2 linked regions of the Struthio camelus genome follow. The protein of the gene in region 1 interacts with the protein of each later gene in a pairwise test. Links are inferred from orthologs where the notes say so. Each region holds a gene or a part of one and is shown on either strand. Other genes may lie near its edges. The genes, in order: RBM17 and U2SURP.

The links.
Region 2: the proteins of RBM17 (region 1) and U2SURP interact in binary tests that used the Homo sapiens proteins (3 or more experiments, as listed by UniProt). The link is inferred for Struthio camelus from reciprocal best matches to the Homo sapiens genes RBM17 and U2SURP.

Annotation. Positions count from the first base shown.
Region 1 is NC_090942.1:4,586,035-4,593,565, reverse strand, and holds the start of RBM17 (splicing factor 45), read right to left. Parts: upstream 3,030-7,531; 5' UTR 2,898-3,029; intron 1,856-2,897; exon of another isoform or gene 1,717-1,855; intron 1,542-1,716; exon of another isoform or gene 1,405-1,541; intron 917-1,404; exon of another isoform or gene 746-916; intron 58-745; 5' UTR 40-57; coding exon 1-39. UniProt on the Homo sapiens protein: Splice factor that binds to the single-stranded 3'AG at the exon/intron border and promotes its utilization in the second catalytic step. Involved in the regulation of alternative splicing and the utilization of cryptic splice sites.
Region 2 is NC_090950.1:15,664,117-15,671,960, reverse strand, and holds the start of U2SURP (U2 snRNP-associated SURP motif-containing protein), read right to left. Parts: upstream 3,122-7,844; 5' UTR 2,917-3,121; coding exon 2,872-2,916; intron 1-2,871.

The sequences.
Region 1 (7,531 bases):
ATCGCTGGTCTCAACTCCCAAGTCATCGTAAAGTGACATTTTCTCCTCAATTTAGAACTAGAGGACAAAAAAAAAAAAACCTATAATAAGTCATATGTCCAGTGCTTATTTGCTACTAGCTCGGTTATGTTTGTGCATCATATTTTTAATTAATTAATTTATTTATTTATTAAAGTCGGAGAGAAATCCCAGCAGTGACATTTTTCTGGTTAACGGCAGATATGCATGACTGCTCTGAGGCTGTATATAAACAATTATTTAAAAGGTAATAAAACGCTTCCATGAATACTGTTCAAGTGTCAATGGGTTTTGGAAACTTCCTAAAATTATTTTTGTAACATTAGGTTTGTAAAACTGTGGTTGTAACATCATCACTTCAAGCTTTTAAAAAGTTACACTGTGGTCCACAAAAATATTTCGAGGGTCACAAAGAAATTCTGAAGTATGACATAAACCTCAAGAGCTCCAAATCAGAGCATGTAAGAAGTTTTGTCTCCCTGACCTTAAAGTCTGCACAAATATATCAACATTCCAATCAGCTGCTTAAACTTCAGGATTTTTTGCAACATCATTGGGCTGAAAAGAAATATCTTTCTTAGAGTAATTACACTTGCTGGAGCACAGCCTGCCAGAGCATGATTAAGCAAATGTTTTCACACACTTAAAGCCCTCTCAAATAAACGGAATACGTAAACACACACATATAAAATTGGCTAGGTAACAACATCAATAACAGATAACATACATCACTGTCCACGTGATACATCATCTGACACGAAAGTAAGGAGAAAAAGCGTGCACGAATGAGAGGTCTATCACCTGCAGCAGCCTGTAGAATAACCTGCAAGCACATTATTTAGCCTCAGTTAGGCCTGGATTACAGTATCTGTGACCACCGCTTTAACTTCTTAATTTCCTGCAGGAGAAAACATCCGTAACGGAGTCAAGGACTACCGATAAACTGTCTGCAGTGAAACTGTACAGACATACAAGACTCGCTACGGAGCCCGCGCTCCCACAGATTTGACGGGTGCCTGTATTTGAAGGCACCTGCTGACACAGAGGAGCTGTCTGCTTATGTAGAGTTTTAAGGATTTAAGCAAATCTCAGATGGAGCAGGCAGCAACTGCATTACGATCTCCAGACATGGGGCTGTAGGAAATAATACAGCAAATATAAACACCTATATATTACTTCTAAGGTAAAATAAGTAAAAATAATAAAGAATAGGTGATTTCAGCCTGCAGAGGAACATAAACAACCGACGCTAGTTTACTGCATGAATATGGGGGGGGAGAGGTGGGTTTCGGTGGGGATTATTACCTAAATGGGCGTGGGGGGGGGGACAGGGAGGGATATCGCAAAGCACAGGGGAAGGCGACGGGGAGGGGGCACCACACGAACCCGCGTGCGCCACGGCAGACGAAGTTTGGGCAGCGAAAGGCGATTTTAGCCCCTCCAACCGCCGCGGCCCCCAGGGGCAGCGGCTCCGCGCCTCGGGGGACACCGCGGGCGGCGGGGCCGGGAGGCGGCGGCGGCGGCCCCCGCCGCGGGCCGAGGCCGGGCGCTGCGGGGCGGGGCGGAGGCGTTAGGGGCCCGGCCCCATCCCCGTTCCCCGCCCACCACCGCCGCGTTGAGGCGCAGAGCCGCCCGCTCGGCTCGGCTTAGTCGCCGGTCTGCGGGAGCCGCCGCCGCCGCCGCCCGCCCGCCGCTCACCCGTCACCGCGCCGCCGCCGCCGCCATTAGCCGGCCGCTGAGGCAGCCGGGAAGGGCCGCCCTCCACCAGCCAGCGCCCCCACCCCCTTCCGCGCCTGCGCACACGCCGCCCGCGCCTGCCTCCCCGCCGCGACGGCGCAAGCGCGCGGCTCGGCCAATGGGCGCGCGGCGCGGGCGCCGCCGTTGTACCGCCCTCTGGCGGGCGCGGCGCGGCACCGCCCCTTTCCCCGCCGCCCTCCGCGGCCGGGCGCGGCCCAGTCCGCGCCAGTTCGGCACTGGGAAGGGGCGGGGGGGGCCCTCCCCTCCCACTTCCTCCCCCCCCTCGCCCCTCATTTTTCGGGTCCTGTGACGCCCCGTGCGGAGGTGGCAGGCGACGGGCGGCTCTGCAACAGCCTGTGCGATCACCCTTATTTAAATAAAGCGCACGGAAATAAGAGAGAGACCTACAAACGACGTTAAACTTCGTGTTGGCGGGGGCGGTTTGGGCGCTGGCGGGTGGGCCGTGTAGCCCACGTTAAAAACAAACAAAAAAAAGACCTTAAAATCCCAGTGGACCTTAAAAGAGACCTTAAAATCCCGAGCTGGGCCTGCGTTCGCCACGTCGTCATTGGGGAAAAAACGAGCGATCGCTCAAGGAAGTTGCCCGAAAAATACGGCGGGGGGGGGGGGGGAGAAGCGAGATAACCTTCTGGTGGGGCTACGTTGGGGTTTGGGGCGGATTTAGCAGTTCCATCAGCAAGGGGGCAGGACGGTATCGGCGTCCCGGCCATCGCCCTGCGTTTTGCCTTCATGCCGCGTTTCGCTATACTGTGTTTTTGGCGCCTTGAGAAGTCTACGTCAGCCCGGCGGACGAGGTAACGCGCCTGCCGGCGTGTCTCCTTGGGCCTTCGGCGCCTCGACCTCATCTTCATTCCCGCCAAAACCAAAAACAAAACAAAACAAAACAAAAAAACAACAAAAAAAAGAATAATATGAGACTCTTCCGAGTTTGACGGCACAGTTGTGAAGCAGCTAGGAGGAGAGAAAGCTGACGCTCGTTTTGCTTCAAGCGTATTTCAGACGCCCCCGAATCATGTATCGCTCAGGCACGCTGGTTAGCGCCTGGCTCTGCCGCGGCTCCCGCTAACGCCGAGGTGGCTGGGTGGTGGTGTTACTGCAGGGTATTTGGCCGTTGAAAGTACCTGTAGTATGAGAGCATCGTTTGGGCCTGAAGTGGGCTGGATCGGTTGATTCCGCTGATCGTCTCGCTGCAGAAATCATTTCTGCTTTCCAAAACAGTCCCTGAAATGGCGTTATCTGTCCTCGCCGGGAGTTTATTCAGCTACGGTGATTTCTCCGCCTCTCCAGAGAGCTCATTTCGAGGTAATTCGGTAATTATTGCTCTCTGTGACAGTGGCAAGATCTCGTTTTTGTTGTTAATGGGCAGCTGTGTCCCTGACTTAAAGCCGGCAGAGAGTGAATTCAGACGCGTTGAGATTTCTAAGAATTATGGCCACTTGCACCACGTGATAAACGCTGTGGAAATAAACATTCAACCCTCTCTGCAAAACACAGCAAAACCTCCAACCCCAAAGCAGATAGCGTTGTCACTTCAACCTCAAAACTACAGCCTTATCTCTTTGTTGATCAAAAAGTCCTTATCTCCAGCATTACTTTTGACTTTGCTACTATGCAATTAATTCCCCATGCTTAAAATTAAAAAAAAAAAAAAAAAGAGGTACCAGTGAGCAAAGCTACTACTTAAAAAAGTGGTAGTTTATTTTAAGTTCTGGCCTGTTCTCGGCTCTTCCCATCCTACTTAAGCTGGTGTCTGCTAAGGGGATCTTTGTAGGCAGTGTGTTTCCAGATGAATCTATTTTAATAATAATAGTGAAAACTTCTTAAATGTAAGAAGAATTTTTCTTCGCTTTATTCAGGGAGGATCATCCAAGCAGGCTTTTGTTCCTTGCTCTAGAAATGCCTGCATTTTTAAAGGAAGAGATTGATATGATACACATTTCTCTAACTTTGTGCAAGAAAGAAAATCAGCAGGATACTTGAATACCAATTTCATAGTGACAGAATCACATTGAGCAAGGACTGGTGTTAAAGAAAGGAATCAAATAGTTAATTGCATTAAAATGTACTGCAAAAATCACTGTGGTTTGAAATTCAGCACCTAACAGCACAGAGCAGTATCACAGCATGATAGTCACTGGGAAAAACTCAAGAGATCAGAGTCTGCAAAGGCAGAAAACATGATAATCATCAGAGATTTCAGTTACTCCTGGGAAGACTGGGAAAATGCACAACAGGAAGGGCAAAGGCTAAATTATTAGACCCGTAAATAGCTACCTATTAAAGCAATTAGTCAGATAATTCGCGAGTGGGGAAGCAGCTCTTGATTAAGTCCTGGAAAGTGCATTAGGCGTGGTTCAAAATGTGTCTGTCATCATCTGTGGCAATAACCACCATAGACTGCTATAAGACACTTAAAAGAGCAAAGAGGCCAACAACATCCATTGCATTAATTTTGGCAGAATTCTGGCTGACGGCATGGAGACCGTTCGAAGGCGTGATCTCAAGTCTGCGTTGGCGAAACCATCCAAAAGAAGGGCCCTTGCACAAACTGAGCCCCTGCAGACAGCACATTTGATGTCGCGCGCCATCGTGCCGTGCCTACATCTTGCACGAAAGGCTGCGTCTCTCTGCTGAGGATTGCTGCTGGGCCACACGCGTCCTCCGGAGAAAGTATGAACCAGCTGCGAGCAGGTGGAGAAGTCGCACCACGCTGCAAAGTCTGAAGTCCCTGGACAGTCTGGGAATGGAGGACACCCTTGCCAGGGTCATCCCCAGTCCTTCATATTGGGGAGGTGGATGATAGCTTGGACAGACGCCTCTTTTTCAGCTTTATCTGCAAAGGCAGAGAGGGTGAAGGACATCCTGATGTATGCCAGTGGGGACACTGTGCTGCAGCTCCCGGCCACTTTTCTGAGACATCTGCACCCTGAGGTCAAACCCTGCAACTTTCTATAAGCTGTTTAGGCTAAATTAACTCCATGGCAGAGTATTTCCTTGGCAGACTATGTGCCAGGAGGGTGGCGTGGAGAAGAGCTCCAGATGGGCTCTCCCTCTAGTTGTAAGTGTCCCAAAGCCCAGAGAATGGCAAGCCCATGAGGTCCTTTCTGATGAAGAGGGGATCCATACCCCACAGCCTGTGGAAAGGTCTCTGGGGGTGAAGGCTGGGAAGAGTATCAAGGATTCAGGGCTGCTCCCGGTGGTGCCTGAGGAGCAGATGTGACCTGGTTTGTGCCATCCCCACTGTTGTGAAATTATTTGAAGTGCCTGCTACAGGGGAACCATCGCTGGGTCATCTTGGGCAACTTTCACCGTGCATGAACGGGCTATGCAAGCCAGACATACACAGCTGAAAGAGTACAATGCACATCTTTGCTGATTGACACACACAATAGATGGACAGGATTTAATGAGGTAGTGGGCCAAGCATTAGCGTGTTCATGGCTTCAGTGAGATACCTGAAGAGCCTTTGCTGGCGAGTCAGAGCCAGCTGGGGCAGCATCAGCCCTCTGCTGCCTCCAACAGACCCTCGACAGGGCTGAGTTGCCCCCTTCCAGCTACCTGTTTTTTCCTTCAGGATTTTAAACCTTTCCATGTTCATGTTTTTTCTCTTGAATCCCGCTAATGATCTCCACCTCAGCAGTCCCACCTGCCCTTCTTATCTCGCCTGGTTCCACTCTACGCCTTTTCACACAGCTCTTTCTCACAATATGGCAATTTTCTCAGCAGTCTGAAACGAGGTCATGCGGTTGGGCCATACCAGAGCTGGGTCCAGGATGCTGAACTCCTGGCAGAGGAAAGAAAAGGGTATGGAAGGGTTATGGACAGCAGATTGCAGCAGATTGCAGACAGGACCAAAAGGCTACGAACAAATTCTGTGTTTTCCCCGTTGTGGGCAGTGAGTGGCAGAGTGCCAGGGGCCTGGGTTAGGCCCCCGCAGCATAATGATAAGCAGCCTGGAAAAGGTCTCAGCAAAGGTGGTTATATTTGCCGTGGATTCAAAATTATTCGGAGTAATCAGCCAAAAGCTGAATGCAAGAAGTTGCAGAAGGATGGCATAATGCTGGCTGGGTGATGAGATGGCAGATGGGACCCAATGTTAATGAATGCAAAGCAGTGCACGCAAGAGAAAATAACACTAGCAATACACACACAGCAGCAGGCTCTCAATCAGCTGTTACCATTAAGGGAAGAGATGCTGGATTCACTGTGGATGGTTTTCTAGAAAGGCCAACTCAGTGCTCTGAAGGAGGCAAGAAAGCAAACAGGCTGCTAAGAAGTATTAAAAGAAGAGAGAGAGAGAGAGAGAGAGAGAGAGAGAAAAACAGAAAACATACTTGATATAAATCCACAATGCACATGCAAAGGTGCCTCCTGGGTACCTCATCACTTCCAAGTAGATGCAATGCAATGCAAAAATGTACAATGAAGGACGACAGAGATGTCATTCTAAACTGAAGGAATTAAGATGTATCAGCTGAAAAGAGACAGCTGAAAGGTGCTATGGGAGCATCCAACATCACAAGTGGTACAGAAACGGTAAAAAGGGAGTTCTCATTTTTCTCCCTAGACGTGATCTCCAAGAAGGTACAAAACAAACAGAGGTGTAAACTGTGGATCTCGGTGCCAGGGGGCACTCTGGAGGATAAAGGGATCCAAAAAAAGATAGGAGACGGTCCTAAGGAACAGGGCCATTCGGGCTGGTAAACACAGTGGTCAAAGTACAGTCTGTGTCTCAAAAATCCCACTAACCCACTGATTGCTGGAAGCAGGGCAGAGTTACTAGAGAAAAAAAAAAAAGCAGTCCATAAATTCCATGTTTCTTACAAATTCCCTTAAGCTTAAGCCATTTTTACCAGACTTAGATTATTTGCACTGTATTTTACAGATAGACCTTCTGAGGATGAGGCTTGCATGCTTAAAGCCGGGTTGCTAATATGCCAAAATGGCATTAGAGGGCAGTGCATCTCAGTCTACGGGGAGACCTTTGAGGTGGCAAGGGATGGCTGCAGTAAACCCCCCAAAACCATCCACAAGGCCCCCGGGGAACAGAAGAGCAGAGTGGTTCCCACCCACAGAGGTGGGGGCGAGATGCGAATCGCAGCGGGGCACACGCGAAAGAAAGCTGAGCTTGGTCAGAGGAACGTCAGTCAGGTTAGAATAAAGATGCTTAAATCACGTGGGATGGAGGGATGATTTCCAGCTAACGGTGCGGGTCCTAAGCAGAGAGCAGACCCACCCCACTGCACACCTGCTTTTTGTTAATGGTCCTGGCAGCACCTTCAAAACTTTATGAACTTTTTTTCTTTTTCAGAAAATACCCACTTGATTATCACTGCCAGCTTCACAGTGACCTTCAGTATGGCCCGCGTGGCAAAATGAAATATGAAAATGACGCTGCCAGAGGGAAAGCTCATTCATTCATCCTGGCTTGGGAAGATCGGCTCGAGTTTGTTGGATCCTAAACCAACATGTTGGATCCTAAACCAAACACAATGTGTGATGCCATGGTTTTGCTGAAAGGTACCACCCTAACCCAGTATGCCTTCAGATCTGCTTCATGATCTCTAAAATACTCTGATAACTCTAAAATAAATCAGAAAGGAACTGTGCTGTAATTCTTCTTTTGTAAAACTCACCAATGAATAACCATCATAAAGAGCTGAAAACAGTTAGAAAGGCATTTGGAATATCCTTACTTCTGCAGAGAGAACAGCTGCAAACGCAATGAAGAAAGCCGTCTATTTTTGCCATATAT
Region 2 (7,844 bases), on another chromosome or scaffold:
CCAAGCAAATAACATTTCACTACATCCAGATAATAATTGGACAGAATCAATATCTGCCATTTTAAAATCATATCCTGACACTGACCTGCTGGGCAATCTTGGCCAACCTCTATTTTCCCCTCCTAAATTTGTCTGTCATTCCTATTTCACGTGCAGATTTTACTATCCTAATCTTAAAGTGACAAGGGGATAGATGATACTCTTGCAACACATTTCACACAGAAGAATCTTTCAAATTTATTTAGAAGCTCTCAGCACCATAAAAAGTAGCTACCAACAGAGTCACACAGGCAACTGGTGCTCCTGAACAGGTAGCATCTCCCCGACAGTTTTCAAATAGTGAATCAAACAGATAATGCTTGACTGAATAATAAACTGGATTTTACCTTATAAAACAAAGTGATTGTCTAGACAGTGGCTGGACACTAAGACAGAAGAACAAACACCACATGTACTGAAGGAGAGAAGTCATATCTTACTATAACTGCTACACCATAGCTTTTAGTAGAATGCAGAAAATAAAACGTCATTGTGTTCTTCCGAGGATACAGGCTAGAAGCCAAGAAAGGAACATCTTGAAATTGCCATTAAAATATATCCTATGGAGCCTACAAGACCTATTCGCAAGACCTTGTTTGCAAGTACAATTACTCTTACAACATGCAAATATAATGCACAAAACAAAATGGAGCCTAGAACTTTGATTTTGATATGTAAGTAAATTAATTTTAAAAAAAGAAAATGTTTCATAAATAATTATTTTAAGAAATCAAGTAAACTGGTTATTTGCTTTGACTGTTAAACCACACATACTCATATACAGTCAACTAATAATATTGATCTTTGTGGTTGAACGAATAAGTTAACTACAAAGAAAAACTACAACTATTACAGATTTCAGCTCTGATATGTCATACCTCTTTCTACAGATATCTGAAGAATACCTATATGGATTTACATATCACATGCATTCATGAACTGATACACACACACAAAAAAAGACACCCTCCTGCTCCCCCCACAACAGTCACAAAGTTAAGACTAAAGAACACATATCCCAAGACCTAAGCACGTGCTATTTAATTTCACCTTAAAAAAAGAAGTTCTCCAAGGTCCATGTACTATCACTATTTTCCTTGGCACAAAAGAACATTAACAAGACAAAGAAGATCAGGAACCTAAACGGAAGGAAGAGAATACTGAAATACAGCATATACTTCTAAAGTAATGGGAAATTGGGGTGGGGAACTGTATGAAAATGACAAGATACAGGACCTCCTCAAGGACTCCAGCCCTTGAGAGATCAATGCCCGTGTTTAACTTTACGTTTTCTAGTAGTCCTACTAAGTTCAATGGGATGACTTCATATGGAGAGTTAAGCGTCTGCATACATCTTTGCAGAACAGAGAACTAAGACAGAAAACAATTCTTTTAAAATAACAGCTATCAAAAAAAAGTCATCTCTATAGAAATATTACACTGCCAAAATGACAAATCTAAGGTGTAACTATCCGTAAAAAGAAAGGGATCATATCTGAGTTGTTCTTGTGTATCGTGTTATTGGTTACAGTAACCAACAAGTTATTATTCTGTATCTAATTATACTTTAAAATCCCGAAATGTCTTATTCCCCAAAAGCCTCTGTCCATAAATTAAGATCTACTGTGCTATTAACCAGTAGAGATCTGTGTAGATCTTGGTTGCACTTTCAAGTCAAAGGTACGATCCAAAGAAAGTTTTCTCACAGTATTTGGAGTAATCATAAAACAGAAACAAAAATAACTCTCCTAAGGACACCAACTACTGGGTAAAAAAGGGTCTCATAACTATGATTCAGTTGGCTTCCTAACAATGAAAAAAAAAAAAAAACTGTTTTAGCTGAATATAAAAATGGGCAAAAATTATTAATCTGTATGGGAATGGAAATCCCTAAATCAGAATGTGGCTTCTCTCCCTTCACTGACTTACACAAGAAAGAAAGACTTGGAACAGTTACCAGGAAAAAGAGTTACACAGCACTGCCCTAAGATCTGCAACAAGACTGTTCAAAAGAGAACGTCACTAATCCTCAAACTGTCAACTGCCAAAGCGTCCCCCAAAATATATCGTCCTTCTTATCCTCTACTTTCTCGTGGCAGGGAAGGTGTTAGCGAGCAGGAAGTTCTGTGCTGTTGAGGGTTACTCACAGCACTGGCTTCTGTACATAGCTTTGGACAAGCCTGCCAGAATTCCTGTACGATTTGGATTTCTGGTCTTTAAATCTAACAAACAGTAATTATGGGAAACTGAGTAGCTACAGTGAAGACACAGTGCAACACAACCGTGATTTGGTGAAATTTATAATTACATCGCAAACAAAACAGGAGCCTCAATCTCACGTTAACCATTGCTTTCTCACTCGCAATTCAGAAACTGGCCCCAAGCAGGCACCAGGACCCCCAGCACGGGCGAAGTCAAACAGGAACGCGGGCGTCGGCAAGGCTCAGGCATCAACTAGCCACCCAAAACGCATTTCGGCGCCGTTAAAAGAGCACGGACCCCGCCTGCCAGCGCACCCGCTCCCTCCGGCACCCCGCGCTCCTCGCCGCCCGCCCACACGCCCCTCCACCCGGGGGTGCCGGAGAGGCCGGCAGGCACCGGGCCCAGGCCGGGCCCAGCAGGGGCGGCGCCCCGCGAGGGACGCGGCCCCGGCCCCGCCGCCCCCCCGGGCAGCGGGCAGGGGCAGAGCAGGCCGCAGCGCCCGCGCCTCGCGGCCCCGCGCGCCCCGCGGCTGGCAGGCGGGTGGGTGGGCGGCCGGGCGGCGGCGGCGGGCGCCCCCCCGGCGGCGGCGGCGGCGGCGGGCGGCGCGCGGGCCCCGCGGAACGGCCTCACCTTCCCACTGGCTTTCTGCGAGCCGCCGGGCGTCTTGTCCGCCATCTTGCTTCTCCCCTCGCTCAGCCCGGGCGGCGAGGAGTCGAGCGCCGAGTCCACGGATGGCGAAGAGGAGGGGAAAGGCCCCCGAGACGCAGGGCGCCAAGTCGATAGCCGAGCTAGCGATGGGGGGCGCCGGCCGTTGGCGCCGGCGGCGGCGCCCGTGGGTGGCGGGGACCTTGGGCTGCCCACGCGCGCCCTGCCCGCCCACGCGGGCCGCCCTCGCCCGCGGCCCCCGGAGCGGAGCCGCGCCGCGCCGCGGCGGGGCAGGGCAGGGCGAGGCGGCTCACGGCAGCCCGCGGGTCTCCTTACGGCTTCGGGCTCGTGCCCGAGGCCTGCCTCGTCCTCCTCGCTAGCTGCTTAGTCATGGCGGCCGCTCCTACGCGCCTCCCCACGTCTCGTTTTAAAGCGTTATTTCGTAACTGGCCTACGGTTTTGGCTCAGTCTTGGTCTAAATGAGTTAAACGCTGGAAAAGTTATTTTCTCATATTGCTAAGGAATGAGTTGAGAATTAAATCCAGGGAGGGCAAAGGCCTACCGTCAAGTCAGGCTGCCTGGCCTGCAGCAAAGCGTATTCCCCTTGAAGTACAGCCAGCCGTGAGACGGCCTTAGCGCGCAGAAACCCGGCTCTGACGAGCGTCGCTTTTCTTTGCAGTCTGGGTTTGTACAGTAGCATTAGACGCTGACACAGGTGCGAGCAGCTTCTCGCATCCAGGCCCAGCAGGAACTAAGCCCAGGTATTCTGCGAATAACTTCCTACAGGACCTCTGCAAAGAAGGTCTGTTAGTCAAGGACTAACATAGGCCCAGGAGCGCCGCGGCCAGCGCCATCCCTCCCCCCGCCATCCGTTCCCGGGGGTGTTAGCAGCCGCGGAGCCTGACCAGGTGGGATGCCCAGCCGCCTCCACTGGGCTGAATTGCAGCACCAGCAGTCAGACACCCACCACTTGTCACGGTGACTCGCTGAAGTCTTCCCACAGTGGGAAGGTAAAGGGTCTCTCTGGCAGAGGCCATATCCATTGCTACAAGCCAAAATCGTGCCGATTGTGTTTCCACAGTGGTGCGCCGAGGCAGACCAGACCGCACCAGCAGGGCTACATCCCCCTGTTGCTACCAGCCCTTTGGCTTTCACGGGGTATGTGGCCCATCTGGATTTCTTGCTCTAACATTAGCAGAGACAAAATTGAATGAAGTTGCTAGGCAACCCAAATTTGCTTAGCAACCGGCTGCATTAAGCCAGCCAGGCATAAGGAGCCTTGGCAGCCAGCACCATGAGTCCGCACCCCCTGAAACCGTTCTGTCCCTCCGCAGCTATTCCTGGGCACATCTATTGCCCCCTACTGTATACATATACAGACCCGTGCTGCTAATCACTGTATTTTGAAGAGGCACCAGCAACACTGTGAACCAATATGAAGAACACGTGGTCACGTATGAGAAACTCTAATGGAAGAAGGTCTTTATTCAGATACAAAATACTGACCTGTCTTGCCTGAGCAATGCCTATTTTGGCCTTTCTGTACAGCCCTCTTCATCTGTGGGTCATGTTCCTAGACACTGAGCATTGTGTGGTCATATCATCTGGCAGGTAAGATTTGCCTCTAAACACCTAACAAAGTGAAATAGAAAGAATATTCTTATAAACAACATTAAAGTACTGCATCAAATCTGGAAAAGCCCAGGAATGGTGAAGAGGATAGCACAACATATCCTCCATTCCTAGATTTGATAGCACAACACCACGACAATATTTTTAGAACATTGCTTAAGTAGAAATTATGACCCAAGGTCACATTGCATTTCACGTGAATCTTGCATTCCCTTGCTTTTATTGATTTTCATCATAGTAGGGTTAAGAGAGTACTTAAGGGAAAGACAGCATATCCACAGAAATGGATGAAAGCTTTAAATCCACTGACTCCGAACACCTACTCCCCTGTGAGCTCCAGTAGGGAGCAGAGTCTAAGCTAATAACCCCATTGACATGATGGAAGAAGGAGTGGGAGCTTCCAGAAGGGGCAAAAAGAAAGCAAGAGGGACAAGAAGTAGCGTCAGGGTAAAGAGGGCAGAGGAAATTGCATAGGATGAGGAGTTTAAGGGGGATGGCAAAGAAAACCCCGAAAGAAAAGGTAACGGAAGAAAAAAGAATAGTGAAAATAACACACTGGAGGTGAAAGGGAGACAAAGAGCAGATGCGGTAAGGAGGTCACACAGGTCTCAGTTCATGAAGGTACCTAAACAAATGCTTAACTTTAGGCTCAAAAGTAATTCTGTTGACTTTGGTGGGACTATGCGTACACCTAATACTTAGTATAAGGTTAATACAAGTCTTAGTGAGGAGTGGAAATAGGCCTCTCTCCTTTCACTACATCTAGATTAGATTACAGCTGCAGATCTTTCCAGACTGACTAAAGATCTCCAGGAAACTTCACCTGCTGCAGAAGGTATGCATCCCTCTTCTCAGGGAGATGATCTGATGTTACCCAGCTACTGTCCAGCTGTCTTTAAGGTGAAGCTTTAGATGCAAGTCTTTTTACGGCTCTTGCTCCATAAGAGATAAAAAAACCACAGGTGCTGAAATGCCATTTAAGTTAGCAGATCTGGGTACATCTACTTTCCTGAAAAGGTAGTGACCTTATAGCTTTGGTCATATAGGGTGACGTATAAATTTGAGATAGCAAAATGATAGCTAAAGAGAGCCGATTATAGTACAGGTCCTGTCACGTACTGTCAAAAGGGCTTGAGTAGCTTTACTAATTAGTGAGCAGACTGGGTGGAATTAACATTACTGCATTATGAAAAAGAACAGTTGATCAGGATTTCAAGGAAAGGAGAAATCTCACTCAAAAATGGAAGTGTCTTTGAAGCTACTCTTAGACTGTAGAGTGTGACACTAAGCTCTCCCACCTACAATCTTCCACTCAGAATGAAGCTGTTGATGTTATGGCTTTACTTCAGTTGGAAATTTCTGCTTCTCCTTCAATCTTTCCCTTTACTTCAGGGGCTTCCTTTACAGTCATTGTAATTGATTCCTTTCCTGACCTCCACATGAAGTCTTTCAGTAATGACCACTTGTTTATGATGGCAATTACATTTTTACAGAGAAATTTTATTAACATACTCATTTATTTGATTGCGGTGCTACATTTATTGATTATTGTCAGAAAAGAGCCTTGAAGTACGTTTCTGCTCTAGGAAATGACTCTCAAAAGACATCATGGAGTTCCTCACATACTTTTTCCAACATCTCACTACTGATTTTGCTCAGTTTACAAATAAAAGGAAGATTGTTTTCTAACTCACAGCTTTGCAAACTTAAAATGTCTGCTTTCTGAAAGGCAGGACAGACTTTTTTCTGATACGGATATCAGTAAAGACGATTCTGCTATATCAGTTATGTAGTGCCACCCGTGCACACTGTGTCCCCGGCCTGTCCCCCCGCAGCCGTGGCCGTGGCCGAGCCTGGGGCTCCGGCGCGACGTTGTTGCCAGCTCCATAGTGGCGCAGCGCAAGAGAAATCCCAGGCCCCTTTCTGATCAATATGTAAGAGCAGCGGTGTGGCCAAAAGTAAAAACTATATGTAACCATTTCTTGTTCCCCATGTGAGTGGCTTGTATACAGCAGCGCGAGTCGACTGGGGGGAAAAGCAGCCTTTTGAGGTCATCGTGCACTATCGCTGGCCTCCGCAAGAGGGCACATCCAGCGCATTTCCGAAGAAAATTAAAATTGCATGCCACCATTGGTGCAGAAACCTGGCGTAGACGCCGTGACATGCGGCTTTTAATTTCCTGAAGCTGCATTTCCTCTGCAGTCCTGACAGGCTTCTTAGTCAGGTATTTATTACCCAGCTGCACCAATCTGTGCATCTTGGTGCTCGTGCCGGGTGAATTTACTGCTGGTAGCACCGCACTGACTGTGAGATCATTACTCAAGGGATGGGTTCATCCCTGTTGTGTGTTATTCCCTGCCTACGCCGAGCAATGCCAGGCTGGGGGGCAGCAGCTCCGTCAGGGTGGGCCCGAACTCCCAGCTGCTGCTTATACCAATAACTCCCAGCAGAAAATAATCTCAAGCCTCTTGCAAGGAAACCTATAATCTCCATAGATGAGCTCCCAAATTCAGACTGGGCAGTGATATTACGTTGTTATATTATGATTTCTACCTTCTGAATCGATAGCTCACACCAAAAATATCAAAATTATTATTATTATTATTATATCTCTATAGATACAAATTGCTTTACATTCCAGTCAAGTAACTGGCTGACCAGACAGTACTACTGCAACTAAGACAACAGTAGGCTAGACAGAGAAGGGCCATGTAGCAAAAATACACATTTCTCCTTGCTCTTCATGCCTCCCTCCACCATGTTTGCAAAATAACCATAGCAAAAAAACCCCGGTAATGGATTCGGAGCTAAGGATCTGGAGACCTCTAGGATTCTTTAAAGAAGTGTTCAGGAAGTTTGCTGAGCTCCCTTCAGAAGGGAGCTGCGTTTTACTTGAAGATGCAGCAGTAAGCATTTGCTATCCAGAGCCTCATCTTCTGCGCTGAGGACCCCCCTCCAGCTCTGCAACCACCTGCAGCGCTTTGCAGTGCCAGTTTGGGGGAGGAGGAAGAAAGAAAACTCACCTTGGACGGCAAGATTTGGGGACAACTCCCTCAAACTTGTCCACAGAAACTTGTCCACAGAAAGGAATGGTGTTGGTCAGGGCAAGCAAGAGATGGATTAGGCAGGATCTAATAGCTTCAGAATCCAAGCCCCATCCTTCTCTTTCAGTTGTCCTACCGTGTTCTTGGGAACCACTTCAGCAGGTAGTGGAGTCATGGGATTAGCCATCCCTGACCTCCTTCTGGATTTTTTTTTTTTTTTACATGTTAGCGGACACAGATGCAGCAATGAGTTAGAAGCAAACCAGCTAGGGAACTTGTGCT